Linked DNA regions of Caenorhabditis elegans. The protein of the gene in region 1 purifies or fractionates together with the protein of each later gene. This does not show direct contact. Each region holds a gene or a part of one and is shown on either strand. Other genes may lie near its edges.

Evidence for each region.
Region 2: the proteins of nfki-1 (region 1) and cgef-1 fractionate together in Caenorhabditis elegans (co-fractionation; one large-scale study listed by BioGRID). This does not show direct contact.

The regions. Positions count from the first base shown.
Region 1 is NC_003284.9:15,345,249-15,361,000, forward strand, and holds the start of nfki-1 (ANK repeat-containing protein nipk-1), read left to right. Parts: upstream 1-9,989; 5' UTR 9,990-9,991; coding exon 9,992-10,126; intron 10,127-10,178; coding exon 10,179-10,331; intron 10,332-10,568; coding exon 10,569-10,788; intron 10,789-12,090; coding exon 12,091-12,211; intron 12,212-12,362; coding exon 12,363-12,487; intron 12,488-13,935; coding exon 13,936-14,134; intron 14,135-15,212; exon of another isoform or gene 15,213-15,303; intron 15,304-15,752. UniProt on the Caenorhabditis elegans protein: Acts downstream of the receptor complex composed of ilcr-1 and ilcr-2, which is a signaling complex that modulates neuronal activity and animal behavior in response to sensory neuron input. Mediates signaling of the complex.
Region 2 is NC_003284.9:2,763,965-2,779,716, reverse strand, and holds the start of cgef-1 (DH domain-containing protein), read right to left. Parts: upstream 7,676-15,752; 5' UTR 7,640-7,675; coding exon 7,548-7,639; intron 7,525-7,547; exon of another isoform or gene 7,413-7,524; intron 5,903-7,412; coding exon 5,821-5,902; intron 5,169-5,820; coding exon 5,024-5,168; intron 4,894-5,023; exon of another isoform or gene 4,716-4,893; intron 4,591-4,715; coding exon 4,507-4,590; intron 4,333-4,506; coding exon 4,224-4,332; intron 3,599-4,223; coding exon 3,508-3,598; intron 1,713-3,507; exon of another isoform or gene 1,435-1,712; intron 1,388-1,434; coding exon 1,277-1,387; intron 32-1,276; coding exon 1-31. Other genes in the region: F55F1.2 (Transmembrane protein 72), read left to right, coding at 9,657-10,029, 10,087-10,109.

The DNA.
Region 1 (15,752 bases):
GCTAGGGAGCAAATGGATTACCCTAAAAATTAATTCAGATAAAGAAATGATGTAGCAAAATTATCTTTTACTCCTTAAATTCAATTTACATGAACCCAAAAAACATTCAATTTTTTTTAAACTGAAATTCAAAATGTTTAAGAAAAGTGCTAAATTTCTTTAATTATCCTAATTTGTAAGTGGCTGAACACTAATTGTAACTTATGTATCCCATCTTATTGTTTGATTTCAGGCGCCAAAATGCTCGCCGCGCCAGCCGTGCGACCTCTGCTTGCCTATAGTGCAGCGCGGAACCCGAAAGGTGTCGGCTGCGGCGAAAAACCATTTTCCGCACTACGCGGTTCATCTGCTGCAATACTTGGAAGCGATTTTTAATCTAATAATAAATAATAATTGAAAAAAAACTAAAATCCGTAACTCTTTCTTTGAATAAAACATTTATGCATATGCATACCATATTCAAAATTAACATTTGTGGGCTTTGGATCTGATCAACAACAACTCTGATCACATCTTATTTTCCTCTTTCTCCCACACGTTTTTCCTGTCACAAACAATTGCCGGCTGATTCAAAAGAGCTGGCACTTTACATTGTAACACGAATGACATCATTTGGAACACCAAGGGTCACTCGGGGCATCTGCTTCGCTTCTCTTCTTTTTCCATTTTTTTTTTGAAATTGGTTGTTGTTGATCGAGATGCGATGGTTTCGGGAAATACTGATAGCAGTTTGCAAAGAAAAAAAATTATTTGATGACACGTTATCATATCAAATTGGGAATTGGCAAATAGCCAACCAATTTGGTTTCCAAATTAATTACTTGATAAGATTGGTTCCAATGTGAAGGTTAGGTTTTTGATAATTGGTGACGTTGGTGTTTTCGGCTGAATACTCAGAAAGGGATTTTTCAAGGAACAAAAATGAGCCTCAGAGTTATTTAAAATTTCACATCATGTTCTTTTGTCGCATAGTAGAAAAAAAATGTCAAAACAAAAGTTCAATGTCTGAAACATCTTTGTTGTTTTCAGTTTTTAGTTTAAAGTCCACTGCATTGACGTTTTGTTTTTACATAAATTTCTAAAAACAATTTTGATGTCAAATTACAATATTAAAGTTTGAAATTGGGGAAATTTGAATGTGCATGTGATAAATTAAATTTGAAGGAAATTGTTTTTGAGGACCTAGGAATGATAAACGAACTGATGATAGTATTCTGGGATTGCAAAATTTCAAAGGAAAACTTGAAAAAGCTGTAAAGAAAATATGATTTTTTGTAGCTTTAGCCTTTGATTTTTTTTAAAGCATTAAAGCAAAGGTTTCAGTTCGATTAGAAAAAGTTTCATATTCCATGTAAATCCGTCAAAAAAAAGTTCATTTCCAGCGAATACTAATAGTCAAATTTTCAATTCATAACCATTCACCACGATCGTAATTTAGTTCACGATTCAGTTTTTAAATGAATTATTTCAAAAAGTTACTTTAAACTAGACTCGTACAAAAAAATGAACAAAAAAATGAGTTAGAAAAAGTCGAGCTTACACCTTTTCAGTGCAAATTCGAGGCCTGTAACACTGTTCAAAAATTGTAAATTTGCAAATTTTTGATAATTTCAAGGATGCGAATACGCGCTAAAAACTGAAAATACTAAAAAAAAATTTGGGAATTTTAATTTTGAAAAAACAAAAATCGTTTTTTCACCAATCGAAAATTAGTCAAGACTGTCAAGACTAACTTTCGATTGGTGAAAAAACGATTTTTGTTTTTTCAAAATTAAAATTCCCAAATTTTTTTTTAGTATTTTCAGTTTTTAGCGCGTATTCGCATCCTTGAAATTATCAAAAATTTGCAAATTTACAATTTTTGAACAGTGTTACCCTTTTTTTCCAGGCCTGCAATATTTGTTTAGTAAATTTGCCATTTTTTGGGTAAATTAAATACCTATATAAATTGAAAATATAAATTTACAAAATTTGAATTTTTCAATATTTCAATACTTGTTAAGTTTTCTGCAAAAAAAGTCTCTTTCCCAAATTTATATGGCCTTTGAAAAATAGTAGTGCAGTCTCTAATAGTCTTGCACCCTAACGGACCAATTGAAAATTAGTCTTGCATGCAAGACTGATAGAGAAAATACGGTATATGGAATATTTTCTGACACTTTTTTAATGAAAGGCTATCGTAAATGGGAAACGTTTTCAGACATGTAGTACGTGAGATAAGGTGGCTGAAAGTGGTATAATTTTTATAACCGTGCAAAAAACTTTCTAAAATTGTTTTTTTTTGTTTATAAACACGTTCTTTTTTATTCAGTTTCAGACAATGCTTTCTGTATTTTTTAACTCAAAGAAAACTACATAAATTTTTGAATTCAATGGTAAAGTCGGGAACTGTAATCTGAATCTTAAAATCCCAAGCAATTGCATCATATCCATATTTTTCGAGTAGTAGTTATGACCTGAACTAGCAGTATTCAATTGAAACTTTATTTCATCTCCACTTCCTCAATGACGTCATCTGCAAAAAAGACCACCGTGCTTCTTTTTTCGACAACACCCCATCAATACCTCATTATAATTCATTGTAATAAACATGACGTCATGTTAAACCGAGGCGCTCTCTCGGCGTTCCATTATCCCTCAGTGGTCAGATTGTTTGCTGTGAATGGACGGCACTCATTAATGCAAATGAACGACGACGGGATAGGCCAAAGGGCGACGGAAACAATGACGTCAAGTCCAGCTGTGCATAGTCTTTGTGTCACCACGAGAAACGCAAGCATCTATCATTATGTATCCAAAAATCTGATGACATCGTGATCCATAAAAAAAAACAACTAAACAACGGAAAATTTGAAAATTAAAAAAGGGGTCCATTTTTTTTCAGGAATTTTTTTCAAATACCTAACCCTGGCGGAAATCTGCAATAAAAATTAGAATTTTAGTAAATCCTTTTTATGAATATAGCACCCAGGGATTATAGTAACCGGAATGGTAGTTTTTTAGTTTTGAGCTTGAATGGTTTTTTCGTTCTTTTCAGATATGAAGGCCAGTACAGAAATTACATTTTTACAAAAAAATTAGAAAAAATAACTGTCAATTTGATTAGTTAGACTCAAAAGGTGTCAGTTATTTAGCTCTTCCACTTACATTTTGAAAGTTGGTCAAAATATTTTTAGTACTTACTTCAAGGGTTTTGTTGCTAAATCTGTGTTGTATTATTGAAAATTGTTCGTTTTAAACACTTTCAGCAGTTTTCCCTATTGCTTAAAAATAGTAAATTCAATTCAAAATGACAAAATGACAAGCATTCGCTTCGGAGTTCTCATCAGCGGCGAAATTATTCCAAATGAAATCCCGCCCAATTGTGCAATATTTCGACTTTCCCGCAAAAGCCACAATGATGAAAGCATCATCCGCAAAAGTAACTGTTCAAATAGTTTTTAGATACCGTATATTCTCTATTAGAGCGGCATGCCGCACTAATTTCCGGGCCCTTCGCGATGTGCGCTCTATTAGAGACTGCCGTTCTACTGGAGACTGCCGCACTAATTTTCGATAACTAATTTTCATTTTGAGGTTACTACTTTTGAGAGTAGTAACCTTAAAATTCCTTAATAAAACCTTATATTTTATGGTAAAATTCATGAAAATTGTGTAATTTTGCCTCATAAAGACACTAAAATTCAATATTTTAATGGAAATTTATGAATTCATTCAAAAATGAACAAAAATACCATCGAAGAAATCGAATAATTGAGGTGGCTCTCGCAACCAAGATAGGGGGTGCCGCACTAATAGAGACTGCCGCTCTAATTTTCGAAAGGCAAGTTAGGGTGCCGCTCTAATAGAGAATATACGGTATGTTCTTTTTTTCTAGTTATAATACATATAACAAAAAACATCGAAAATGTGTTAAAACAAAGATCAGAAGATGTCTGTTGTTTTTGTTTTCCAGCAGAATTTGGGCAAGAAGTACGATTTCAAAATTTTTGAGATTTTAATTTTTTATCAGAAAATATAAAAACTTTTATTTCTATTTTATATAATATTATTCAACAGTAAAATAGCGATACTTGTTATGGGTTTAAATGATTGGAAAAAAAACCAAAAAATTTAGTTTTTTTTTCAATATCAATCTAGTTTGCATACTTTTCTTCTACATTTTGAGTTTTAACACTGGGTTGAACTCAATTTTAATGTTTTCCACTTAATCCATTTTGTCTAATTTTTTTCGAAGATTAATAAGCACTTCAGACATACATATCAAACTGCGTGATTAGCCAGTTACTGGGTAAGAAATAATATCGGTGTCTAGAACACTTGGAATGAGCAAATGTAGTTCTTTGATGGTTACGAAGTGAGCAACTTACAGCTCAAACATCATCAGGTTAGAGAGTATTGCAAAAGAGAATATATGGACTTTGGCGTCGCGCCATTCCAGAAAATCTCCTGCCTCAACTATTGCCAATTTTCCAACATCATCGTGCATAAATACTAGAGAAGTCTTCAGTAGAATTAATAATTTTTCGAAGCAAGTTTTTAGTTTTTCTCGATCTCCAATTTCCTGGTATGCCAAATGTTGTTTAATTCTTTAAACATTGCGTCTAATTTGAATTCAGTTCCGCGTTGGCGTTTTTGGTTCTCTACATGAATCGAATCATCAAAAACAACTATTCCACTGACACTCTAATTCGAATTCCACCGGTTTCTGAAAAAAAGAGTGTTCCTCTATTTCCCCTCTTTCGTGAATCAGTTGTAAAAATCTAGTCAGTTATCACATTACCAAAGTTTTCGAAAATACGAATCATATTCAAATTATGACTTTAGGAATGAGCCGAATGACTTGTTTGATGACTTTAAAAAATATGGTATTAAAAGAATGGGATTTAAATTGCCTTAAATCCCATTCTGCCAACTTGCCTATGTCCATGTTTAAAAAAAAACCAGCTTAGTTATAAATTTCAAGCCACCATTGAAAACTTTTTTGACTACTTCGAAATGTTTTTTTTTAGGGTTTCCTATTAAGACTTATTCTCATTGTTCAAAAAGTTGTTTTTATTTGACGCAAACCTTCAAAGTTTAAAACATGCAAAATATAATACAACACAAAAATAGGTACTTGTAACTTGAAATAATATTTCAATATTCCTTACAGCAAATTCTAGTTTCTAGCATAAAACACCTGTTGCCGGAAAAAAATCAGCACGAGTTTTTGATAGAGCACATTTTTTTCAGAATTAGTTTTTCAGAACATTCCTGATGTTTGAAGTTAGTTGCCATTTTTCAAAATTTATTCTGTTTTCTATGACAAAATAGTAATCGAGATTTTTTTCCGAATAAAAAAAGTGTCTCATGCATGAAACATATTCCCCATATATTTTTATTCTTTTCCCTGCGATAAACTTTTATCCGTAATGTGCATTTTGGTTGTCTCCCCTATGCGAACTTTATAATCTGATATTCAAAAAGTTTGTTATTACCGGGTTCCAGTTTTTAATATATTTTTTTATTTTTATTTATTTTTTTTTTAATATTTTTTTTTTTTAATATAACTATATGTTTTCATTTAGCTTTTAATAACAAAAAAAATTCAATAAGTGTACGAAAATTTAAACCAGGCCGCAAATAATTAGTTCCCTGGAAAAATAACTTTTTGGATTACATAGTAAATCAGAAGCTGATCGAGAACGAAAATGACTTCCAGGCGGCTGATCTTGAAAAGGAATTGTTCATCTGGAAGATGGACAAAAAGAACTTTAACATTTCTAGTTGTTTGTGCTCTATGTAGTTGTTTTCAGAAAAGGTCAAGGGCACTGAGGCGGGAGTTCTCAAAATTTTCAATCGTCCTTAGGACTTGCTTTTGAAAAGTCATCAAAAGTTCGAAAGATTGAATAATTTAGTAGAAAATCTTAGAGTATAGTAAATTATCGCATTTTTCGTAAGCAGTAGATCATTGTTATTATCACGGCTTGAAATACTCCTTTCTAATTGTTGTGCCTAAATTTTGAAAAAAGTTTGCAAATATGTAGCAAAAACATCTACCGAATTGATCTATTCTGGGAACTTATTTTGGCGGCATTGTTTTATGTCAAAACCTTGTCTTTTTTTAAATACCGTCAGATTTTGAAGAATTTCTCTTGCTCACATTTTTAGGCTAAATTAGGATTTAAAAACAGTTTCTGTTCGATGTTTGAAATAAACAATCCCAAACGACATGGTTTCAAAAAAAAAACATGAATCATTTTGTGATAATCCAACTTTGTAGTTTCAAGTCGAGATTCGTGCTTATCCGAGTCTCAAACTGAGTGGAGCCGCAGTGTATTCAGTGTGATCTCTGGATTGACGGCATGATTTTGTTAGTTTTGTTTCTTGCTTTTATAAAACTTTCTATTTTTTGAACAAATTGCAGGTTTCATGGTTTTGTAATATTTTCTTTAAAAAATATTACATACGAATAGAAACAAAATAATGTTTTCTGAAAAAAAAATTTTATCTTCATTTTCCAACTTTTTATTTATACTGTAGAAGAAACTACGTAAAAATCGAAAACAAGTACGTCACTGTACATACTGTGTTGTTGAACTGAAATTTTCATGTCTGTGGGAAAAAAAAACTGTCCCAAACATTTTTTCTGGTGTATGCAAGACTTCCCTGTAAAACATATACACGTTTTCCTCCGTGCCTACCCCATGCCTACCTACCTATTTCTAGACTGTTTGCCAGATTGCATAAATACATATCTACCTTCATTTTCCGTTCAATCTTTACATGCCTGTAAAATCATGATAACTTCATTATTCGCTCACATTTCATTTAACAATCCTATTTATTGAGTTTTTTTTTTGATAAAAATCTAAAACTAACCTGAAAAAAAAAAACAGTCATCAAAACTCAAAAGTTTGTTTCTCAATTTTTCCTATTTCCAACAACAAAACTGTTTGGCAATCTTTATTCTTTAATGTTGTGGTTTGTCAAGAACACAAAAGGCTTGTGATTTCTTTGAAACCTTGACATCATCACTAACAATAAACAACCAACTGGATTAGTTCCTTTACTTTCAATATATGATCTTCTCAGAAACTGATCTTGTTCTATGTATTATTTTTTGATTTTCATTCTCCATTTTCCCATTTCTTTTTGCTTCCCGGTTGTCTCATCATCATTTTTTTTAACTACCATATATGTTTTCACATAAAACTGAAAAAGTTATCATTCTCTGTCACACAATTCTGACACGATGATTTTTCATCAGCAGACAGTACTGAAATTTCTGCACAATATGTCCACTTGTTATTCGCTTTTTTTTTGCTGTGTTACACGCGTTGTTCGATTTCATTGTGTTTTTCAGCGCGTGATGTGTTCTTCGGTCTTAAATATATTTTATTCGTTTTTTTTAGTCCAGTCGCCATTGTATTGCGCGGTTTCTGAACAATACCCCAAAAATGAACTCTTCTATTTTTACTTGTTTGTAAAAGCATTGAACTTTAAGGCACTAGTTCCTTGTTGTGTCAAATTCACTTTGGGGTTAGTCTTTCTTCTTATTGTTTTTATAGTAAATTCCAGTACTTCGTCAGATTATGTGTTTCTGTTCAGTTTCTTCCAAACTTTTCTTATCACAAATTTTCCAACTATGTCTATGGCATTCACTGGGTTTATTATCTATCTGAAAAAAATCAAACTACGTTTAATATAGGTAAATGTTAAGTGCTTGTATGTATACAACGAGTTAACAATTTTAAATATTCAACACGACCTTTAATTTAAGTTATGTTCTTCTACTTCTTCACGTTTGGCAGCTCGTGTTGTTGTTCTCTTGTTTTTTGTCAAAAAAAATTTCGCGGGGCAGATAGCTCAGTCGGTAATGGTGGCCGCTAGCAATCTGGAGGTCACGAGTTCAAGTCCGACCTCACCCCCTAGGTTCACCCAGCCTTTGTTGGGAAGTGTAGCAATACAAGGCTGGCCCCCGGCTAGGACGGTGCTTAAATTATAGCCCAGTGGGAGCACCACCAGGCAGTTTACCTGACAGATCCGCAGTGCATAGCACTCGAAGAACGGATCGTCTTTTAATTTATTAAAATTTAATTTTGCTAAACACCTATTGTATTTTTAAATATATCCTTCGCTCTTCCAGTCTAGCTGTTAAGTAGCGAAACAGTCGAAAAGGTGCTTATTAAATATGGTGTAACTAAAAACATCGGAGAGACATGTTTAGGTAAATTATTTTATGTAAATTTATGCATTTAAGATTGTACATGAATAAGTTGACAAAAACTTTTTGAAAACTTTTTCCTTTAAATACCAAGTCTGGTGCAGACCATATACTGCGTTGCGAATTATGTATGTACTCTGATAATTATGTAGTTCATTTGCTCGAGTTCATGAGAACTTTGGAGATATTTTCATAAATATTTTTTGAATCGTCGTCATCTTTCTCCCCACCGATCTTCGATTTCAACATTGTGATGCCAAGTCACGCCTATTTTTTGTCATTAGAGTGAACCTTCTTGTTTTTCTAGGGCTAAGTCGCTCGAGGGAGGAACTTCTTCTTCTTCTTCTTCATTTTTCGCTGTCAACAATATGAAGGTGGATGGAGAGGCGAGAAAAGAAATTGACTCGAAACCACATTACGTGTGTGATGCGCGTCTCCTTTTTTCAGAGTTCTTTCTCAGTCGCCCGCCAAACCAGGAACAAAAATTTTCGGTCGCGACTGGCGGCCAACGCGCCCGCTTCGCCCCGCCGCTCACAATCGCAACACGGCAAACGCCGAGGTGGGCAGAGAAAAGAAAAGACGCCATTTCGAAAAAGGGGGCGCTCCCTTTGGATCCCCCACATCCACACAGACAAAATAGTCTCAAGTGAGAGAGAGTGAGAGAGAAAGAAAGCGAGTAAGGGATGAAAGAGAATTGGCGTCCCATGTTTTCTCTGACTCTCTCTATCATCATCTCTCGCTCTATTTTTTTGTTCATATTTTTTTCTCTTTTTCCCCACGTTTACCACGAGGAGCGGGCATTCATTGCGGCGCGGTTGCGTCGCGTCCACTCCTCTTTAAGAAAAAAAGGAGACAAGAAAAAGCTCAACAAAATGGGAGATGAAAAAGAAGCGCGCACACACGTATAAACATACACACTAATGATAGACAGTAGAAGTAAGAGTAAGGATCTCTGTATGTGTGAGTGTGTGTGTCGCGCTCTCGGCCCTTTCGGCCCTGTTGTGCTCAAATATTTGCTCCCGTTCCTCGCGTTTTCTTTACTTTCTTAAACTTGCAATACCCAATGCTCCGAATTTTACCAATATTTTTTTTTCGAGAACAATTGAATGGTCCATTCTCTTTGTTGTAGATCAAACAGTAGTAGCCATTCCTTCCTTTTTTATTTATTTTTTTTCTGTCCGTCAGAACTCATTTTCTTTTTCTCAATTTTTTCTCCATTTCAATCAAATTATTATAATGTCTGGTCATCATTACCTTCACTTCACATTTCTTCTCCAACATTACAGTTCCTGGTTGTCCTTTGCTGTTCTAATTCTGTCAAGTGATGTACTTAGACAATGTTCTTCAAACCTCATTTCTCAAAAATACATGGGTTTGTCCCTTTTTTCATTTTTATTTGAATCATCAACTTTTAAATTATTCTGACTTCATTCTCTAATTTTCAATTTCTAAAGCAGATGCTGAGATCAAACTTCAATTAAAAGATTTTTATTTCGCTACATATGTGCTCTCAAAGATTACTCTTTTTACAGCTTCAATATTACTTTATGTATCGTTTCAAATTGATAAAAATGCATTTTTCTTTAAATCTGTGCAATTTGTTGGCAACAAAATCTTGAAAAATCGATTTTTTGACTTGACCCCATTTTATAGTTCAACCGGCAGAGATATCAAATCTCAATCGATTTTCTTTTTTTTCCCTAGACTTTTCCAGCATTTGTTTTTACACTCTTCCTTGTCTATTCTACATGTTTTCCAAAATTACGTCGTTTGTTTTCAGCCATGGCAACCGTTGCCCCCAAGGGAAACTGCCTTGTCGCTCGGGCGATACCGTCCGATAGCCACGCCGACCAGCTCACCGATCTGTTGTGCAAACTGTCCGTCAATGGTGACGCGAACCAAAAAAGTGTCAATAAGGTAGGCGATCATACGTCCACTACTACAGTAATCCGTTTGTTTTGCTTTTCAGTTCGAATCGCAGCACGGCGTAACCCCATCGGATTTCCGTGACATTCAAAACATCAGATCATCTGCTTTGGCGAAGAAGACAAAAACTTCCAAATTCCAGCTTGACGGGGTGACTCTGTTCGCTGATCTCACTCCAAACAGCAAGTCTAAAAAGGTATATGGCCGAGCAATATGAGTGACAAAAATGATGTAGTTGATGTAGTACTGACTCATTTATTTTTTCTTCGAACTCTGTAGCTCTCACTTTTCACGTAGACAAGTGCACACGACATTTGCATCACATCAAATGCAGATGTTTCATTTTCATTTCTCAGCACGACATTCACGTGATGAATTTTTCAATGCCACATAGAAATGAGCAATTATTATTAATGAAGCTTTTCCGTTTCAGAAGACTGAAAACCAGGAAACCAAAGAAAAAGATGAAGAAGCCGAGGAAAAGAAAGATGGACCGCCAAAAGATGACAAAGAGCTCAAGATGAAAAAAGAAAAAGAGCAGGAAGATGAAAACGCGGAACTCGACGAACAGAAAAAAGATGGCGATCTTTTAGGCAGAGGCCCAGTGCACAATGTTCGTGTTGCCACAGGAGGAAGTCATCCATATCACAGAGGTTAGAGATGTGGGGAAAAAATAATTGGAAAATCATAGGAACGCATAAAAATAATTTCATTTTCGTGATATGAAAATTATGGGGGGGGGGGGCACATTTTTTTCCAGCACAGCGTAACAGAGCGTTTCGTGCTTAGATCGCCGAGTTTTTTAGAAATCTGTGCTCTGATAGCAAACTAGAACTATTCATCCCTCAATTCATTTCTCACTCTTATGACATCTTCAGGTTATTTGATTTATTTTTTGAAAGTGATTTGTTCCAAGTTTAAAACTCCATCTAAATTCATTTGCAAACTATTTTCGAGTTAATGTAAAAAATAATGCAAAAATGATGTACTGAAAAGTTTTGGTCAGAAATTTTTAGCACATTTATCTGGCATTTATTCATCTACAACTAAAAGTGGAGTAGCGACATTGGAGATTTTATCTAAAACTATTTATAATAACACAAGTAAATATCAAAATATTGGAAACCATTCAAATTTCAAAAACTTTGTAAATGACGGAACTTACTAAATCGAAGGTTGTTTTTTTAAATAAAAAAACATAATATAATTTTGCACGTTTGAACCCTTCCAATATTAAAAAATAATTCGTATTATCAAAATATATAAACTGACATATGAAACGTGGCTTATTTTTTTATTTTGTTTTTTATTTAAGCTCCTTCCATTCCTGACCTTTCGTTGAAATTTTAATTTATTAGTTCATTAAAAAAAAGGGGAGGAGCTTAAATAAAAAACAAAATAAAAAATAAGCCACGTTTCACATGTCAGTTTATATGTACATTTTGATAATAGGATTCCTTTTTTAAGAATTGCCACTTTTGACTGTAAGTTTATTTTTTGAAAGTTTTGAAAAGGTTACCTTGTCAAGCTTAGAAGTGAATTCGGAAAGTTTTCACTGGCGCTACTCCACTTTTAATGATATTTTACCATTTGCACGTGGTGTCAGAATGTCTCATTTCGGCTTGATCTACTTAGATCTACAAAAAATGCGCGAGCAGAGATGCAGAGTTCTCAACTGATTTAGCATGGTTAAGAACGTGCAGATGTCACATTTTTTTGGACAAAAAATTCCCGCATTTTTTGTAGATCAAACCGTAATGGGACAGCCTGGCACTACGTGCATTTGGAGTAGATCAATTTAATTGTTATGTTTAGTTTTTAGCGTTCAGCCTTTAGTTTAACAACATTCATACTAACATTACTCGAATGATTAGGGTATCTATAATCACTTTGCATTTAAAAATATGAAATAAAAACTATGATGTTAACGGCCTCTCTAACAAATTGATTTTCAGCCCAAATACCTTATGGATGCGCCGCACAAACACCTATCACCGACATTTCAGCATACACTGGCTACGGTAGCGGCTATGAATGCGGAAGCACTTGGTCGCTAAGCCCAGACACCACGATTGGGTACGAATTAATTACCTTTTCCTTTCGTTTATTTTTCATGTTAAAAGGGGTAAAAAAGGGCGATGATGACATGAATCGTCAGCTATTCACCCTTGCTAGTTGAACAGATATTTGACACGTTTTGTTTGATAAGGAACCTCACATCTTTCAGGTCGATATCCGCGTCGACAACTCCTGACACTGTGTTGTCATCTGATGGATACGGATCAGCATCTCCGCCTCAACACAGTCCAAAAGAATCGTTGCAGAGTCCGTTTTCCGACATCTCGTCTGCTGGTAGGTTTTCTGAATAGGCACACATTTTGTGGTGATCACACTAAATACAAATGGGCGAGAGGTCAAACACCTTAACGGGGGGTAGTAAATGGTGTTCACCCACGCGGCCGTAGTTGGTGAAAACGTGTAGGCACTGTGTTTCGATGGTCACGTACGGAACACTGATACGACGGCGGCTTGCGATGTTTGTACGTTTCTGATAGATGATAAAAGTGAACGCTTCATATCATTTGTAGTTTTTGTGCAAGTTTTGACACCTAAATCTTTTAAATTTTGAATTTTTTTTAGTTGCCTTGTTACAGTTTGATCCAAAAAATTTTAAGTTTATCCAATTTTTAGTGTGATAAAAACTTGGAGCCAGGCGAACTTAAATCCAACACCCCATGCCTCTGATGTCTAATCTTGACATCAAATTAGAACATAAGACTTAGGTACTCTAATTTTTAGCTTTAACACTATTAGCAACCAATTTCCAGCTCAGCTACTCTCTTTGAGTCAAGCTTGATTTTCCATCTAAATCAGCTTATATTAGGGCGGCAAATAAGTTTTGACGTATTTCGTCAATTTACGGTTTTCCTTAAATTTTATATGGGTGACTTATAGTAGGCAGTGGGTATATACAAGCTTATTAGTTTCAGCTATTTCAGCCTGCATCTTGGTACTTTGATCTGAAAAAATTCAAAATTTTTTCGAAATTTTTTTTTGCGATTTTTTGGGTTAGGCGTTGAGTTTCGATGTTAATATCTAAATCAATTAAGTTTTGTTTGTAGATTACAAAAAGTGAATCCCGACTCAATTGGTCCACACCCAAAACTTTTATAGCGAATCAAAGTCAAAAAGTAAAGTGCACTAAAAATTTGTATTTTTTCAGATTCAATCTTTTCTTGAAATTTCAAACTAAAAAGTGGATACGTTTATCCAAACAATTCATTTCATTACAATTCTGGTCAGATCCAGACTCCTTTGGGGATTTATGAGTTTCAACTTTTGAGTGATCTGCGATGTTCAGAAGACCTTTAGGCTATTTTCCAAATTATATTTTTACAAAAAAGCAACTCTGCCTACTATAAGTCACCCATATAAAATTTAAGGAAAACCGTAATTTGACGAAATACGTCAAAACTTATTTGCCGCCCTAATACATATGTAGAAAAACTCCTTATATATTCTGAGTAACAGTCCCAAAATTTTAGTACCAGACGAACTCCCAGGCATCATAGCTAAAGAGAAAACATCAAGGGTGTTCATATTTTAAATGCGACCTTTTGATTTTCCGATTGTTTGATTATTGTTTTGATTACAATTATTAGTTTTAGCGAAACGTATCTCTCAAAAATATTCATATTCTCCGCCACTTTTCCCCTGTTCCGAAGTGTTCCGTTGGTCGAACACACAACGTTTTCCCGGAATATGTGTAGTCCGATATTATAAAAATTACAATCTTCTAGATACTTCGCGCGTCCTGACCCCGGAGAATAACGAGTTGCCGGAGAGTCTGCAGGATTTCATCCTGCAATACTCGAACCAGTACACCAAAGAGGAGAGCATCCGAGGACGTCCACCATCTGCAGATTCTGGGGTGTCGTCTCCGATGTCGGCTCGTTCAGCTCCATATGCATCACCACACGTGCCACAAGGAACCTGCAGGTAACCAATTTCTAGACGAGTCATTGTGCATAGTGAAACTAGTAATTAAATACTTACGTTGGTAGGCTACTATTTGGGAGATAAGAGAAGTGACTTGGGTGGCCAGTGGCCACCATGACAACAAGCTTCACTGTGATTATATATGTATTAGTTGAAATTTGATGTTTTGAGTGGCAAAACTAGCATCTTTTTTTTAATTTATCAACATCATGGTTTTGTTTTTTCAGAAGTTTTTATACAATAGGCTATATTATTCTCGAACTGCAAATATTTGAGTATGAGTTACAGAATAAAACATGTTTAGATATAGAAATCGCTAGTAAGTTTAGGTAAATGGATGTTAAAGTCAGTTCAATGAGCGTTCCTTCTGCTTTTTGCTCGCTTAGTTTTATCAGATATTATTGCAATATCGCAGAATTGAAGTTTTTCAATCAAAGGTTTCAAAGGCCTTGGCATGGATTGAACTCAACTTAACGTATTCTACTAAGTACTCATATATCAGTATAGCTTCCAAGTTGGCTGAAATATGCCTACCTGAGTGCCTATAGAGTAGGCCAGTAGGCATATTTGTAAAGGTTTTCGTTCATTAAATTTAGTTATTGGAATAAAAATTCTAATATAGGCGGTTCGGCGAAAAACCGGGGGTATTTTTTTCTTGTTACCAAAAGCTTTCCAAACAATAGTCAGACTATTTTTTGTTGCGTTTGATAAATTGATCATCCATAAAGTTCAATAACCATAAACCAGGAGCATGTAGCTTTAGACTCCAATAAATAAATGTTTTCCTTACTTTGAATTTTTCATTCGACAGTCTCCGCAGATAACATTTTCAATTTTCTTAATGTGTAAAAGATCAAAATTGATCGATCAACGTCCGAGAAAAAATTTGCGTTTTTGTTGCAAAAGCTGATTACGGTAGACGTGGGGGGCCCTATCACGACAATGATCGCCATCCGCGGAAGTGCGCCGATCCCCCCCAAGTCTTCTCCCCTCCGGGTAAGACGACGGATAAGATGGAAATTAGCGGCTTCGCTTCTCGGGCTGTCCCCATAGTCACTTTTGCCCATCGAAAATAGTGTTTCTCGAGGTCGAATCGAACCGTGTTATTTCTGCACTACAGGGCCGTCGCCGGCGTTTTTTACTTCCTGGTTGTATTCTTATTCAGTTCTATCCACCTTGGCCACTTGCACCCCACGCCATTTCGTCGCCACCTTTTTTATTAATCTCAATATTCCTTGCAAAATCCGAATAATTTAGGGAGAAACAAAATCTAGCAGGTAGACGTTCTACTCTTGCTCTATGCTAAATGAGTGGTACCCAAGAAGGTTCGTTTCATTGTTGATAGATAACAGTTCACACATTTTGCTGAACATGTCATCCGATATTACAACTTTTTGCTAGATATGAAACGAAAAACGAAAGAAAAACGAAAACCGGTACCTGTTAAGTTCCGCGTCTAGTTCAGAAGATTTTGATATTTGCGTTGAGAAATAGACAGCTTTGAAATCACGGAACACCTTTTCCTTACTCGATGTCTTATCATCACCACTTCTAGTCAAATCAATGAACTTCGTAGAGAGGTGTCGATCTAGCAGCTTGGGTAGAAGACACAACGATC
Region 2 (15,752 bases), about 13 Mb from region 1:
GAAGTTCGGCCGACGATTCGAGTTGGATCACCTGTAAATGTTACCATTTGAATTATAATTATCAAACTAGTCTGAAAGTGTTAAAATTTTTTGATTTTGAGCGGAAAAAACAACTTTTTTGGGAATCAACTTTTTTTTTTCACAAATCGCAAAACCGAAAATTTCTATAACGTGGAATATTTTAATTTTTAGAAATTGTCATTATTTGTGAAATTTCAAACTTTCAAACAGAAAATTAATATATGTGAGGTTTTATTATAGAAAACCTACCTAGATTACTTACATCGAGAAAAAAATTTATAGGTGGTGTACCGCCAGTATGGTAGTTGCTTTGAAACAGACCTATCACACCACAATGACCAATTATCATAGTTTAAAAATTCAAGAACAAATTTCCAAATTTTCTATTATTTTTTGAAAATTGAAAAAATCTCAGTTTTTGCCACTTTATTTGAAAGTTGACGATTAAAAAACTTTTTTACTTTGAACTTTATGGTACTCATGTTTTAAATAAAAATGTTCAAACATTTTAGGGATTGTGCCTTAGATTTTTCAAAAAGTGGCAGAAGCTCAGTATTTGCCACTTTTCGACTGCCATTTAAAAATTTTTAAAAAATGTTTGAGAAGTCTTACTATGATATTTTTGGATCATTTTGGCACAATAGGCGCTTACTTGAACAAAAACGCAGTATCAATGTTGTTGAAAAAATGTACATTGTATTTCAACTTTGATGCAAAATAATCCAAATGCTGTTTTCCAGTAAATTATTTTGTTTTGTTCACATGTTGCTATTTATATTCTGCTAAATTTATTTTGGCAAGTTCAATAATTTCCAACTAATTTTAGAAATAATGAATATAGTTTTTTTTTCAAAATAAAAAATATGGCTAGGGTTCTAGGAGGCCTGCTTTCTTAATAACTGGAACAAAAAAAATAAAAAAGGTATCAAACCATATAAAATGATTGTCAGAAAAGGTATGCAATTTCAGCTTTTGAAAAGTTTAGTTAAGAAATAGGTGAGTTAAAATGAGTTAAAGTAATCTATATTACCTATTTCTTGCTCTCACAAATTAAACAAAACTACGGAAGTTCAATCTCCCCACTTTCGTTTTTGCCGACTTTCCATTTCTTCCTATATCTTTCAATTAACATGCATAGTTTCCATTCCAATGCGCTTTGCACTATACAACGTTAATCATGAAAACTATGTACATATATTAAGTCGATTAAAAATCATATAATTTCAAATGAGGAAAACGTGAAAAATCTTCAAACCTGAAATGAGCAAGTGTCGGCTGCTCCACGATACCCAACTTCAAGAGCACGCTGTAGAACGCCTTCCGGCTTGATAACAAACGTCACACAGATTTTTCCAGGGAAGAATGACTGCAAAAATTATACATAAAAGTAAAAAGTATTGAAAACAGAACCAAACACATCTGCGGAAAGACAGGAAACTGCTGCTGGTTTTTACAACCAGGAAACATAAGAAGAAAGATTCTCAGTTTTTGCACTCTCTTTTTTCCAATTTATTTTCGTCTTCAAAACTAAGCTAAAGCAACGCGAGTCCTAATTACGTTAGGGATCGACACAAGCGCGTCTTTTTTTTTTTTTGATAGGAAGCAAGAAGGCCAACTCTAGGCGCACGGGGCATTTTGTGCAAAAACCAGGATATTCAACTACCAGTTATATCGAAAGTTGCTCTGCTTGAATGAATAATTGACAGTTTGATGGGTGGTCGACCGGGTTAAAGTGCAAAAGAAAGGTGAAAGGTGGCGGCTTGCAGGAGCCAACAAAAAAGCGGCCGCCGGAATTCGAAATGTTTAAAGAAATTTCATGCATAAAAAATATTCGACGGCTGTAGTAAGCACTTAGTGCATGAAAGTATTTTCAAAAAATTTCGAGAAAAGAAAATGTACGGATGTCTTCAAAGATGAAGTGGATTTCAAAGACGACAAAGCTCCGGTTTCAAAACACCGGAAGTACTAGCAAGGGTGGTCCTTGCGTCATTATGGTTTAATGTATACAAGTCAATGCAAAACAATGATGATTGAATGAACTGCCAGGAAAAAGGGAAATCCTTTAAAAAATTGATTTTTTTGAAAAAAAAAAGCTCCTACAATATTGCAGTTTATTTAATTTTTGTTAAAAAACCGTATATATCGCCTTGAGTATCTATTTTATTCATTTGATTAATTTTTCAAATGGGTATAACTCCGAACCTAGAAATGCAATCTCGAACAATTTTTAGCCGACAAGATAATGCCCATAACTTTGTCTATTTGTTTTCACACACTTGAATTATTTATTATCATCACGAAAACAATAAAGCGGCCGACATCTTACGAGTTTGTTTTTGATGATGATTACTAAAACCACTGTAACTTAAAAACCAAATAGAAGTATGTTCACATTATTTTTTATGAATTGTATTTATTAGCTTTATTTGAAACCGCTATGCTGTGTAGATTATGTATATTCTGAAATCAGGTTACTTATGGGGTTATTCAAGTAATGTTGCAAAATCTATTTAAATACATTTATGACGTCACAACTGTATTGAAATACATGAATACATGTTTTTATGTATTTTAATACAGTTGTGACGTCATTTTTTAACACTTTCAATTTTCCGGCACTACTTGAATAACCACATTCGAACATTTTTTGATTATATGTTTTGTAAAGATATGATGAAAGAGATGGTAAGGATTCTATTTCAACAATATTTTAATCAAAAACAGTTCAAAAAAAATTATTCACGACTTATGAGAAATGTGCTCAAAATGGGCGCGTATTTAAAAAAATTAACGAGTGTTAAAAATAAAAAAAAATTTTAAGAAGATCAATTTGTTTTCATAAAATTCCCATGTAAAATGTAAATTTGCAACCACCGGCAAAAGTGGTCTCGCCAGATGTCGGCCGTTTTATTTTTATGCAAGATTTTGTTAGTTTAAAATTTTCTGAAAGCATTTCTAGTTTTGGAATTATAGTCATTTCAAAAAAAAAACTATCACAATACTAAAAGAAATATAATTTTTCGGCCAGCACCGTACATATAAAACAATCATAAAAAATGACCGCAAGTGGAGGGGGGTGTCTGCGAAGTAAAGTGATACTCAACCCATCATCAAAATCAGTGCGCATTGTAAACATGAAGCAGCGTGGAGCACTGAAGATATCCGGTCTCTGCATGATACCTTAGCTCGCGCATGCCCGGTGACATTCTCCAGGCGTCTCTCACGTAAACATTAAAGTGAAACCGAAATGCATCGAAAAATCATTGGCAAATCGAGTGCCGACTGTGTCAACAGATCTGAGAAAGTGGACACACTTGGTGTGGTGTGGCAGCAGCAATAACGAGGTGTTCTAGCAAACGAAAACACTGTGAAAGTGAAATTTTTGAACACGACAAAAGAGATTTATAGGTGTTCACGACTAAACTGAAAACGCGCCGCGTGAAACCACAACGGCTAGATTTTCAGAAGAAAGTGTATAAATCTTACAGAAATCTGAAGTAGTAAAGTCCGTACGGAAGACCACTTGTCACTCCGGCGATCGATTATTATCACAAAACCCTTGTGGCTGTCCTCCAGGCTGAAAATATTAGTTTTATTCAGAAAAATCTATAGTTTTTGTTTTTTATTTTATTTTTTACAAGAATTTAGATTTAAAAAATTTTCTGGTGCTACAGATCTTTTTAAATGCACTTATAATAAAACAACTCCAACAATTGTTTGATTTTTTGAATTTTGTTAGTCAAAGTTTTGAAAAATTGCCAATTTGATATGTTGCGATACTCAGGTTGTTACAACGAAAATAATTTGAACAAAATTAATGCATAAAAATCTAAAAATTTTTTTGTCGACTTCCAAAATTATAGTGGCAAAAACTGAGTAATTGTCACTTTTTGATAGTAAACTTTAAAAAATCTGTAAAAAGTTCGTTAAAATCGACGAGAAATCTCTAAAACTTGATCATTCAAATTTTTACTCTGTTATGTATTGTATTTTTAATAAATATTTTTAAACATAAAATTCCTCCGTGAAAATAAAAAAAATAGTTATCGAAATTTAAAAATTTAAATCAATGTTTTTTTGTGGACCGAACCTAGGATTCCTTTGAGCTCGAAATTCACATTTTTTAGTTTAAAATAGGCCATTGAAAGTTTAAGCACAAACTTGACATTTTAAAACAATTTTCCCCAAAAAAAGCAACTCACGGAGGAACTTGCAAAAGATACTTCACAAGAAGTGAGTAGTCTTCAAAAGGAAGCGTCGATCTAGAGTCCGGAAACGTTACAATTGTCAATCCTTCAGTGGTGCGAGCTCCTTAAAAAAGGTGTTATAAGTAAAAAAAAAGCGAAAAAAGAATGCCGGACATATTGCAAATGTATGAGTTGGTAGTTGGGCTGTGCCGGGTTCTCAAGGAATTTAGTAGCATTTCTCGCCACATTTTATAGCCCTTTTTACGTCTGTCCTCTAAAATTGAGCATGTGCACTCACCAGAAATGAAAGCGTATCTAGTCGCCAGGATGTCGGACATGTCGCGAATTTTAATTCGGTCACCTCCCACTGTGAGATACCCATCTGCAAAATTTAAGTTTTTTTTAAATTGTGGAAATCTTGTAACCTTGTTTCCTCCAATTTCTCCATGCTAATAAAGGAGGTACCATGTACCAAATATAGAAATCTACTAAAGTAATCGCGAAGGTAGAATATGAATGAAGCAACCGAAAGTGACTATTGCGGCCAACTTTACCCGCGCGGTGGGCCAAGCCAGCCTGGCCAGTTGTATAATACGGGCACTATAGAAAGTTAGATCGTGCATCGAAATCCCGCAAAATACCGTACTATATATATATTCGCGCCTATTTTGTCCATAACCTATTCGTAGAGCGGATGATTGGTCACCCGGACGAGTACGGCCGCTTCTGTCATTATTTTACGATACGTTAAGTTGCGCAATTTGCGAAAACTACTACACAGACACACACACACAAGTCTACCCGCTCAAACCAACCCCAATGCTCGTCCGTTGCGTCGTCTTCAGAATCGAAGCCATTGTCTTCGTGGAAAACTAGACTCGTCGCAAATGGATGAGTGGATCGTTCCATTACCGATCGGTAGCCAGAGTCGTTTAGTAAATCCACGTCTTTTAGTGCGGTCTGGTAAACACATTTTTGAATAACAAATTATGAAATTATGAATTATGAAGTTAACAAAAGTATTCGCCCATTACGGGCCATTTTCTATTATTTAAAGCTAATTTTCCAAACAACCCAACTTTTAAATTTCAATCGATTTCATTAATTTTTTTTTTTTGTGAAATTGAAAATGAGAGAGAGAAAATTATAATGAAAATTATATTTAAATTTTCCAATAGTTTCAAACATTTTTGGCAATTGATTTCGGTAAGTTTCAAACAAAATTATTTTTTGAAAATTGGAAAAAAAGGTTAATTTTGACATGATTTTTTCATAGTTTGTGCGACCGATTATTGTTTTAAGGCATTACTAAAACGTGGAAGTTTGAGCTAAAAAAAAAGGGCATTTTGTCAGGAAATAAATTTATTAAAATGTTCGACCATAACTTTAATTCAAAAATTTTAGAAATTTAAACAGTTTCCGTTTATTTTTTGAAATATTGTCAATTGCCAATTTCTATTAAAAATGGTTTCAAAAAAATATTTTCAAAAATAAAATTATATACAAACAAGAAATAAAAATCTGTGGAGTGTACTAACAAGGAACAAGTGTAACGCGTTCAATATGAATGAATGAATAAAATAAATGTTACTACGAGTAAAATTAAACTCACTTTCAAATCCTTCAAATCAGTGTCCATATCGTAGAAAAAAGCAGGAGCCTCAATAAATTGACTGTTAGATTTTGATACAGACCTGTAAAATTAGTTATTTATGCATAGCAAAATGATTTTACTTGGTCAATAGACTTATTTCTGTTAGCCTCAAACGTTAACCCCCTTTTTTAGAAAATTGTGTTTAGCCGGTAATTGGTTGTTGTTCGACAACTAGGAGGGTCTCAACAGGTGACAGAATCGGTTATGAACATGTTTCAGATTTATTCATGAGGTTTTTCAATAAAAGATGTTCGCACTTTTGCCAGACGTAACGTTGAAGTGGAAACGGACGGCGGAGATGAAGAATGACTCTGTTTCTTGCCAATTTCCGTAGTCTGGGAAACTAACTTCCTTTGGAACGCGTTTTTTTTTCAAATGAAAATAGTTTGCTGAGAAAAATTCTCATATTCTAGCATTAAATTCAAATGAAATGTGAAAAAAATCGAAAGTATGTTTTGGCACGATTCAGAAAAATTTCACAAAGTTGAGAAGAAACACCGAAAATATTTTTTAAAGTGGAGTAGCGCCTAAAATGTACACACTTATTATGATCCAGAACGTTTAAATACTCTAATAAAACACTCCAAAAAATTTTACGTTTTTTTTTTAAATTTTTAGTCAGAGTTTTGGCAATTTACCAAATTTTTTGAAAAAAAACGAGCTTTTATGAAAGTTTAAAGCAATGTCGCACTACTAGAACACGAATAATTGAAACAAAATTGAAGTAAAAAGTCTTAGAAAAAATATTTTTTTTGTTGATTTCCAAAATTATGATTAGGAAAAACTGAGGAATTGTCACTTTTTGACACAAAATAAAAAAAATTCCGAAAACTTTGTGAACAGCTTTATTATAAAATTAATTTTATTTTGACTCCATAGGGCAGTTTTAAACATTGTCCTAACTGGCACTACTCCTCTCCTTTTTGAAATTTTCTGTCAAAGTTTTGGCAAATTGGCAAATTTTTGAAATTGCTAAAAATAGCCAATTATGTTCAAAGAATTTTTTTACAATTTTGTGTGAGGTTCTATAAAGAAATTCGTTAATTTGAGAACACAAACCTTACACCAGAAACCTTACCATATTCAAAATTAAATTCTCATTTAGTAGCATTTCATCAAAATGTGATACTAAAAAACTTCAGTACAAAGCATTGAGCCGACTCAAAACCAATCTATCTTTCTGTCAATCACTCTCATTTTTCAGGCTCACTGCTCCTTCTACGGATCAGGCTTGTGCAAATAAATGTGAAATTGAAGTTACGTAATAAAATGTGCAGAAAAATGAAAAACATTCTACTCGGGAAATTTTTGTGTTCACAAATTGTATACCCACATTGTTGAATTGCCAGGCGGAGTACTCATAATTTAAAAATTTTTTAGAGACGTAGCTGGTTGCAAATATAAAGGTTCAACTTCCGCCACTAACTTTTTTGTAGCATTTTTCCAAAACCGAACTTTGCCCGAGACGTGATGTCCCTGGAGATTTTGGTGTGGAAGTGTGTGGGTTGGTGGAAAAACACAATGTGTATGTATTTTGAGCCGGTCAAAATGTGCATCAAGATCGGTTTTTTTTTCTAGTAGAGACTGCACATAAACAAATTTTGAGTGATTTTTGGGCTCCTTAGATTAGAGAGATAGTTTCACATGATTACGCGGCGATGTCTTCGAAAACTTCACAAACTCACATGGTCATTGGTCCCCGCGATAATGTGGATGTTGTGACTTCTTCTGATGTGCTAGCAACCATGCTGCCGTAGCAGGACGGAGCCGCCTGCATTTCAAACACTCGATTCGTGAGGCCCTCCACTCTCCTGAAAGTTGGAAAGATGAACTATAAAGTCAGAAAAATGTAGAGTACAATGTATCAAGTTAAGCAAGAAAAAAACGTTCAGGAAAGCGTTTAAACTCAATTCCAAGACTCCTCGGTGCTCGTTTTTTTTTCAACGTCGGCAGTAAATGAGAGCGCAAGTTGAAAGGGCAGATGCTCTGAACGCTTTGCTTCTGTTCATCAAAGGGCATGTGTGAGTGACATTTGCGCGTGACTGATTGGATTAATTCATCAATAGGAGCAAAATGAGAAGACACTGGGGTTAGGAATCGTTGTGTGTGTGGAATACTAGTTTGAGAAAAGAAAATGTAACGGACACACATACAAATAAATTGGCTATTGAGATAATTTAAAGCAGAAATTATATTTTAATCGTAGAGTAGAGTCTTTTTGAAATATAACTGTGAAAAATTTATAAAATTTTCAATTATTCATAACTCTTTAATGATATTTTCAATTGTAAAATTGAATTCCAAATTAATGACGTCATTTTTAATATTTTTGGCTAAAGTTATTGGTTTAAAAAATTTATTTTTTATTCTACATTTGATTATAAATTTGCAAGGTTTCTTCACGTAAAAATGTCTGAAAAAATGACAACTGGGGTTTTAAACCAAATATATGAGAAAAATAAAAAATTACCTATAAATTTAGCTAGATAACCCGAAAATATAAAAAAATGACGTCACTCACTTCTGCGGGAGTTTCATTTTAATTCGTTCCTTTCTTTAGTTTTTGCAAAATTGAAAAATCATTAAAAAAACAATTAATAAATTTTATTATTTTTTTTACAATTTTATTCGGTCATTTGGGCCCAATTTCTATTATTTAAACCAAAATTATAGAATGAAAAAAAAAATTGAAATCACGTTTACATAATAAAAAAAAGACTTATTCTATATAAATATCTTAACGTGAACACATCCGATAACTATGCATAGTGATTGATTCGATATTGATGTGAACTTGTATAATTCCATCGGCCGGGGTTATTGCAGTACAGAAAAAAGTTGGGGCCGATTTGATTGGATTCTTCTAATACCTTCGGCCAAAAAAAAAACGAATCTTTTTTTTTGAATTCATAATTTATATCCTACTAGCAATCACTGTCGGTCGTCATTTTCCGGCCTTTATGTAGTGAGTGCTCTTGTTTTAGTTAATTAGTTACTTTTTGAAACTATCAAGAACTTGAAGTGGTACAGTTTTGGGAAAAGTGTTTTCAACTACATCTATGGTGCCAAAATGCCATAGTACAACTTTTCAATGTTTTTTTTTTCAATTTTATATAAACTGGCAAAAAGTGTTAATTATTTGTGTTAAAAAAAATTTTGAAAGCTGTTTTACAAATTTTTTCACTAGGATTTTTAATTATTGTGGTGCCAATAAATTATCAAAGTATACTTTATGTTTGAATAAAAAGTTTTACATTTTTGATAGCGTGATAAATAAAAAATAAAGTGTGAAATTTGAGAATTAAAATAAAAACGCTTAAGCGTTTCTGATGGATGGGAAAAGAAGAGTAAACAGAAGCCACGCAGTTTAGATGAGAATTCCATGAAATGAAATGAAAGGAAAAACCAAAGAAAAAAGGAAATATCAAGTGTCAAGAAGATGAGGATGAAGACAGCAAATGCCAGAGGCAACACCAAAATGAATGACCGTTTTTTTCTGCTCAAGACGTGCTCAGGCACTGAACAAAAATAAAAAATAACATCTGATGCATGACAACGACAACGACTTCCCAAACTCACTAGGAAGCAGGAAACTATCAGAGATTGAAAGCTATCGAGTATAGGACATATTTGAGTATACAAATACTTATTAAAAGCCCACACAAGTATCATGAAAAAGCACTGATGAGTTGGAAGCTCAAGGGAAAGAAGCCGTCGAATAATTAAGAGGCGTAACGGCAAAAAGGAAGAGCACTCTTTGTTGGTGTACCCCGGCGACGAGAAGCTCTTTTTCCATGTCTCTCCCCCCTCATTCAGTGAAGAAACCGGGCCGAATGCTCCAAGAAGGGGGTGCCCAAAAGAGCAACATTACGGACACACTACTCTTTTTTCGAGTCACCGAAAGAAAAGGGAGAAATGGCTTGAAAACGAAAGAGGAAATTCAAACGAAAACATTGGGAGGAATTGGAATCCGATGCCTATATTTCGCAATTTCGGCTTGCAAACTTGTGGTGGCATCAGTTCTGTTTTCAGAATTAATTTGCCTTCCTTTTTTTATAGCCAGAGGACCACCAGAATCTCGTGACAAAGCCACAGCCAATGTGACTTGGTTACTCATTAATCATAGAACTGGGAGGCATCGAATTGAAAAATATAACCGATTTCTTGGTAATTTGCAGTGAATGTTTTGTACAACTCTAAAAATAAATTGAGATTAATTTTTAGATATCGTGTTAAATTTCCACTGATGCTCCAAAAATTATTGTGAAAAATGTAAGTCCATGTGATTTTCAAAACAAAACAAAACGTATTTGATAATTGTCAGTAATATCCAATAAGCTAAAAGAATGGGGGGGGGGGGGGGGGCAAAGCTCTACTCTCTACCCTAAAAATTTTGATCTAAAATTGTTTCACTGCATTTTTGCACTACCTTGGAGCCTTGTAGAATTGCTCCACATGTTATTTTTTTTGCAAACTTTGTTTTTCAGAGCGTTTAAAAGTTGGTAAACAACACTCTGAGAGATTTTTGGAAAATTTTAATTTTTGTTTATGTCTGAAAATTTTTGGAGCCAATGAAATGAAAAAAAAATCTAAAGTCTCCAAGAGTACTCACCAACTTGCAAACGTTCCGAAAAACATTTCAAGTTTGTAAAAAGCATTTGGAGCAATTCTAGAAGCCTCCAAAGTAGTGAAAAAATGCCCTGAAACATTTTAAGATTTAAATTTTGAGAGGTTGAGAGTAGAAAGTGGCATATTTTTATGGTACACTTTCAAATAACACATGACTTGTTTCGAAGTCTGACGGTACAATTGAAACTTTTCTTGAGCATAATTTTTTAAAATGATTGTAAAACATCTCAGAAATGTCTGAAAAACAAAAAAACAAAAAGAAAAGCACAAAACATGTTAAAACACTTTCCGAAACTATAATGAAAAGAAGAGCATTAAAACAGCACTAATGAACATTTTTAGTTCACATGTAAACCACTTTTTGCTGCTCATTGCTTGCTCTCATACCTTTGAACGAAGACAACTCAAAACATGAGTGGAAAAGGGAATTATGGAAAAGAAGAAACGAAGGATTAGCTCAGTGAAAATATGAATGTCGAAAAAGCTAGAGAAGCAGAGATGTGTTTTTCCTGCTTATTATTATTATTTATCCTATCATAACACGATTTTTCAAAAAAAAAACAGCTATATATTTTTTTTTCCACATTATAATTTGGACTATTGAAGCAAAAAAGTGAAGTTTCACAACACCAACGACGTAAATTGGAGAATAAAATGAGAAATTGTATAATGCTAGTCTCATCGGGTTGCAAATGTTTTTTGTATTCTATGAGAACGTTGGCCACCAGGAAAATGCTACATTATGTTTGGTAATTTGAAGCAAGTTGGTGATTTATTGCTTCAATCTGTTAGGAGGCCAAATAAGTCCCGAGCCTAAAAAATGCATAAATTTTGTAGCTCTGTATAGATTTTTTCAAATTGTGAAAATTTATGGTATAAACTAGGACCTTCCATTTGACGGGAGTTTAATGAACTTTTCGGATTTCGAATCCACTTTTTTTCAGGCTTTTGCGTTTATTTTAAGCTTTAAAACGAGAAAAAAATTTTTGGGAAACTTTTGAGTTTTTTTTTTGGGAATTTATCAAGAATAAAGTTTCAAACTGTAAAAAGAATCATAATTTTTGTATTAAAAAGTCAAGAATTTCTGGGAAAAAAATTTGAAAAATTTTTGACGACGTACAAAAAATTAAACGGTTTTTTAAAAAAAGTTTTACTAAAATCCGCAAGCGCAATATTGTTCAAGCGCAATATTGGGTAAAAGCCTGAAAATAGTAGGTCCGAGTAGGGGTCAAAAGTTTTTGAAACTACTGTCAAACGAAAAATCATAGTTGATAACATAAGTTTTTGCATTTTTACAAAAACCAATAATAAACAAATAAATTTAAAAAAAAAACGTAGCAAAACAAGTTATAAATTTTGACCCGGAACTTATGTGTACCCCTAATAATATGGAAAATACGGTTATATACTGAACTGTATGAAATATGACAAAATAAAACGTCTAACTTTTTTTTTTGAAAAAAAACCAACCAAACGAAAGGTGTTAACAGACATCTTATCAACACTGGGAATACCAGAAAGAAAGTAATTAATCAAAAAAACCACGCCGTTTGTGATAATTTTTCTGCTGCAACGAAAACGGATAGTTTTTGGTTGTCTGTTCATAAATGTGTAGGCGGAAGCGCAAAGTGTGCGCGAAAGTAAGCAGTTGTTGCACAAAAGGTGGTACAAACAACAGTCGGATGTCAAAAATGCATGGTTGCATGTTTCCGTTTTGACGCAAGCGCCTAGGCCTCAGAGACCCAATTCGGCAGAGCGCGCGCGGAACAACAAGCGAGAAAAGGCTCTGTGAGAAAGAGAGGGGGCGCTGTCCGGAAAAAAACCGATTGTTTTGCGATTTGCACAAACATTTCATCCGAAATTCTTTGGTGGTGTCTGTGTCGGCAGCTGCTGCCCTCAACCCTAGTTCGGTTTCGATCCCATCCGTGTTTCGAATGCCAAAAGCCCAAAAACTCAAACCGATGAATGATTGCGGGCGGTGAAGAAGAAAAGAAAGCCATGACGAGTATGAGCTTATATTTGGGAACATGGGACTTAGACGCGGTCTCGTGTAGAGTAAAAGAGGTGCATACAAAAAAGGCTCACAAAGGAGCCAATGCCATTCGATTATTCAAAAGAACACCTGAATCATCGACATCGTATGTAGAACAAACAGGTTTGAACATAGCGCCAAGAATCAGTGTCTACTCGGTCAAATGTTAGTAAAACTTGAAAGTACTTTTAAATTTCTTCAAAAACCCCCAACGCTTCTTAACTTTTTAAATTGAAAAATAGGTTTGAATTACAAAAAAAACCATTTTTAAAATATTTATTTTCTTTGTTCTAATTTAAAATCTACAGTATTGCAAGCTTTAAGTTTCTACAAGATCTGTTAACTTTTTTTATTTTATTTTCAACTAAACTGGCCACCCCAAAATAGTTGTTTAAGATATTTTGCTGACTACTGAAGTGTAGGCCCGTCCAAAAATTAAATGATCTAATGATTTTATGCATTTTCAAGTTGTCAGTTTTGAAGGAAAATAGAAATTGGAAATTAAGGATTTTTAGCACATTCCTCACATTTGTCAATGTAGTTCAATGGACGGGAATTAATTTTTTTGCATTTTACACCCTCAAGAAATTTTTTCAGTTTTTTTTCAAAAACCAAGCATTTGATCTACCCGACAAAACAGACCGCAAAAAGAAACAACTACCATAGAAAGCATCCAGCAGGTAGATCACAAATATATTTTTTTGAAAAAGGTTTTGTGAGTTCCAAAAATCAAGAAAATCGAGTACGAAAGTCAAAGAAAATTTAAATGCAAATTGCAAAGAGGCTTTTGATGAACAATTAGAACTGAGTTTGCAAATCGACAAGCAGCTGACAAAAGATAAAATCTTGGAATACCCCATGAGACTTAGAAATAAAGTAAGGAATCGAAAGTGTCAAGAAAGTTTCATAATTACCGGTTGAGAATTCGGCTTCCTTCATTGAGTAAACATAGAAAAATGAATGGAAGACGTCGGTTTGGATGAGTTTAGAAGAACGAAAACGGGAACAAATATGGTTTATGATGAGTAGAAATTTCTTAATACATGTTTAAAGGTGGAGTAGCGCCAGGAAAACGGTTAAAAATTACTTATATGATGCCTTGAAAATCACTTATCATAGTACAAATTTTCAAAAAACATTGTTTTTTTTTAAAATTTTTTGAAATGTTCATATAATCCAAAAGTGACAATTATTTAAAACAAGTAAACATAACACTCGAGGAAAACTTTCTTTCAATCGACGATTTCCGAAAAAGTGGTAAAAGTTATGATTTTTTCCAATTAAAAAAAATTTCAAATGTAAAATATATAAAAAATGTATCAAAATATTTTTTATTTTTTTAACTTTTATATTGAGTCAATAAGCATTTTGAAAGCAATTTCTTCACCTCATCTCACTGCTCATAAGATTTCAAAATTATTTTCTCAGAAATATAAAAACACTAATGATAAAATGGGTGTGGTGGCAAATAAGATTTAAAATGAATCGAAAAAGTGATAGTGATAAATTGATAAATCTTATGTAATGCATATAATGAGATGTGCGTATAAATTAATAAATCACATAAAAATACTTGTTTTTTGTTGTTTAAGCGTTTTACAAAAATCTGAAATCAGGACCTAACTACATACCTTATGAAAGGGGCTTTAGCTGGCAATCGAAAAAAGTAGAATTAGTGGAAAAGTAGACTTTAAAAATAACTGCTATTCAAATCTCATTTATTTCGGATGAATTCACATTCCTTCTCAAAAAGCAGCAATAGGGGTGACCTTGCTTCAAGTTTCCCGCTTTCTTCCGTTTTCCTCGGGAGAAATTTTGGAAGAATGAAAATGAAAGTTTAGCAAGAAAAAAAAAACATAAAAAATTGGGGACACCGAGAGGGTAAAAATTATTATCTGATTGGTATTTTTCTAACCGTGACAAAATTTAAAAAAAGAAAGAAACTAAATAGTTTCAGTTTTTAGATTTATTATTTTTTCTATTTTAAAACCAAAAACCGCCGACTGGTCAAAAAATGTTGAGAGCAAAAAATGAAAAAGAGATGTCTGAGCATTTATTTTTGGTTTTCTTTGTAGTTGAAAGTTCTAAGACGTTGAAGAATTCTTTTTTTTTCGTGCTGCCTCGTAGTTCAATTCATTCCACTTTTTAAAGTTACCGTCTTGAACTTGAAATATGTAGAAAAATTAAATTTTGACGAGTTTTGAAAAAAAAAACCTAAATATGGGGTAAAATTGGGACAACGGTCAGAAAGTGAAAAGCCGGGGGGAGATTGCGCAAATAAAGGAAACACCCCTATAGAAAAAAGAAAACCGTATTTTTGGTTAGTGTTTGTTCTATCGTTTTGCACATCACTGCTACCGAACATCCGCATGAACTTGCACGATTTGCGCACTGGCTTGTTTTAGGGAACAACGACCGTCGAAAATTTATTGGCAGACGCTGAATTCGTGAATTCTATGGCACGTGACAACTCATAAAAGTGTTCATTTTTACCTATTATCTTTTTTTTTAGTGTGAGCACTGATAACAAACCTCGTACATTAAAAAAAAAATTTTAACCAGATGAAAAGTCTGGAAAAATTTTTTCAGTGTAAAAAACAATAGCACAAATCTAAATTACAGACTTTAAAAATTTCTAAACACGCAAAAAAATTATTCAGGATGAATCAAGAAAATTTCGCAATCATCTTCCTATGCATAGCCGGGAAACAACCAAATTGAGTTAGTCGGGCTTGAGTAAAAGGAAAGACATCACACAAAAAGAGAGAAAGAAAAAAAACTTTGAATTTGAAATGGATACTGAATTCAGATTAAAACAGAGGGTCTCGTTTCAGTAGTTTGGCGTTTGAAAAAACATGAAAAAGAGGAGCAAGTACAAAAGTGTGATGGGAATGTCGAAACATTGATAAGGAAAAAGTAGAAATTCACAATTAAACTTCTCACAGAAATATCTATAGGAATATCTAAGGAACTTTTTGTATCGAAGATAATGTTTTTCACAAATTGTTCACAAAATACAATGATGTTTTAATTTTAAGCTTTTAGTCAAGTTTTTTTGAAAATTGTTGACAATGGGCCGAGGTGGCGGCCAAACCCAAAAAGTGCGCCAAAAATTTGAATCAACCCACAGCCTTTTTTGATGGCAGAAAATCAAAGGCTTGGTGTTTTGAACCACGATACCACGAAATGATAGTTCTTTTGCCGCAGCCGACACTTTCCGAGTTCCGCG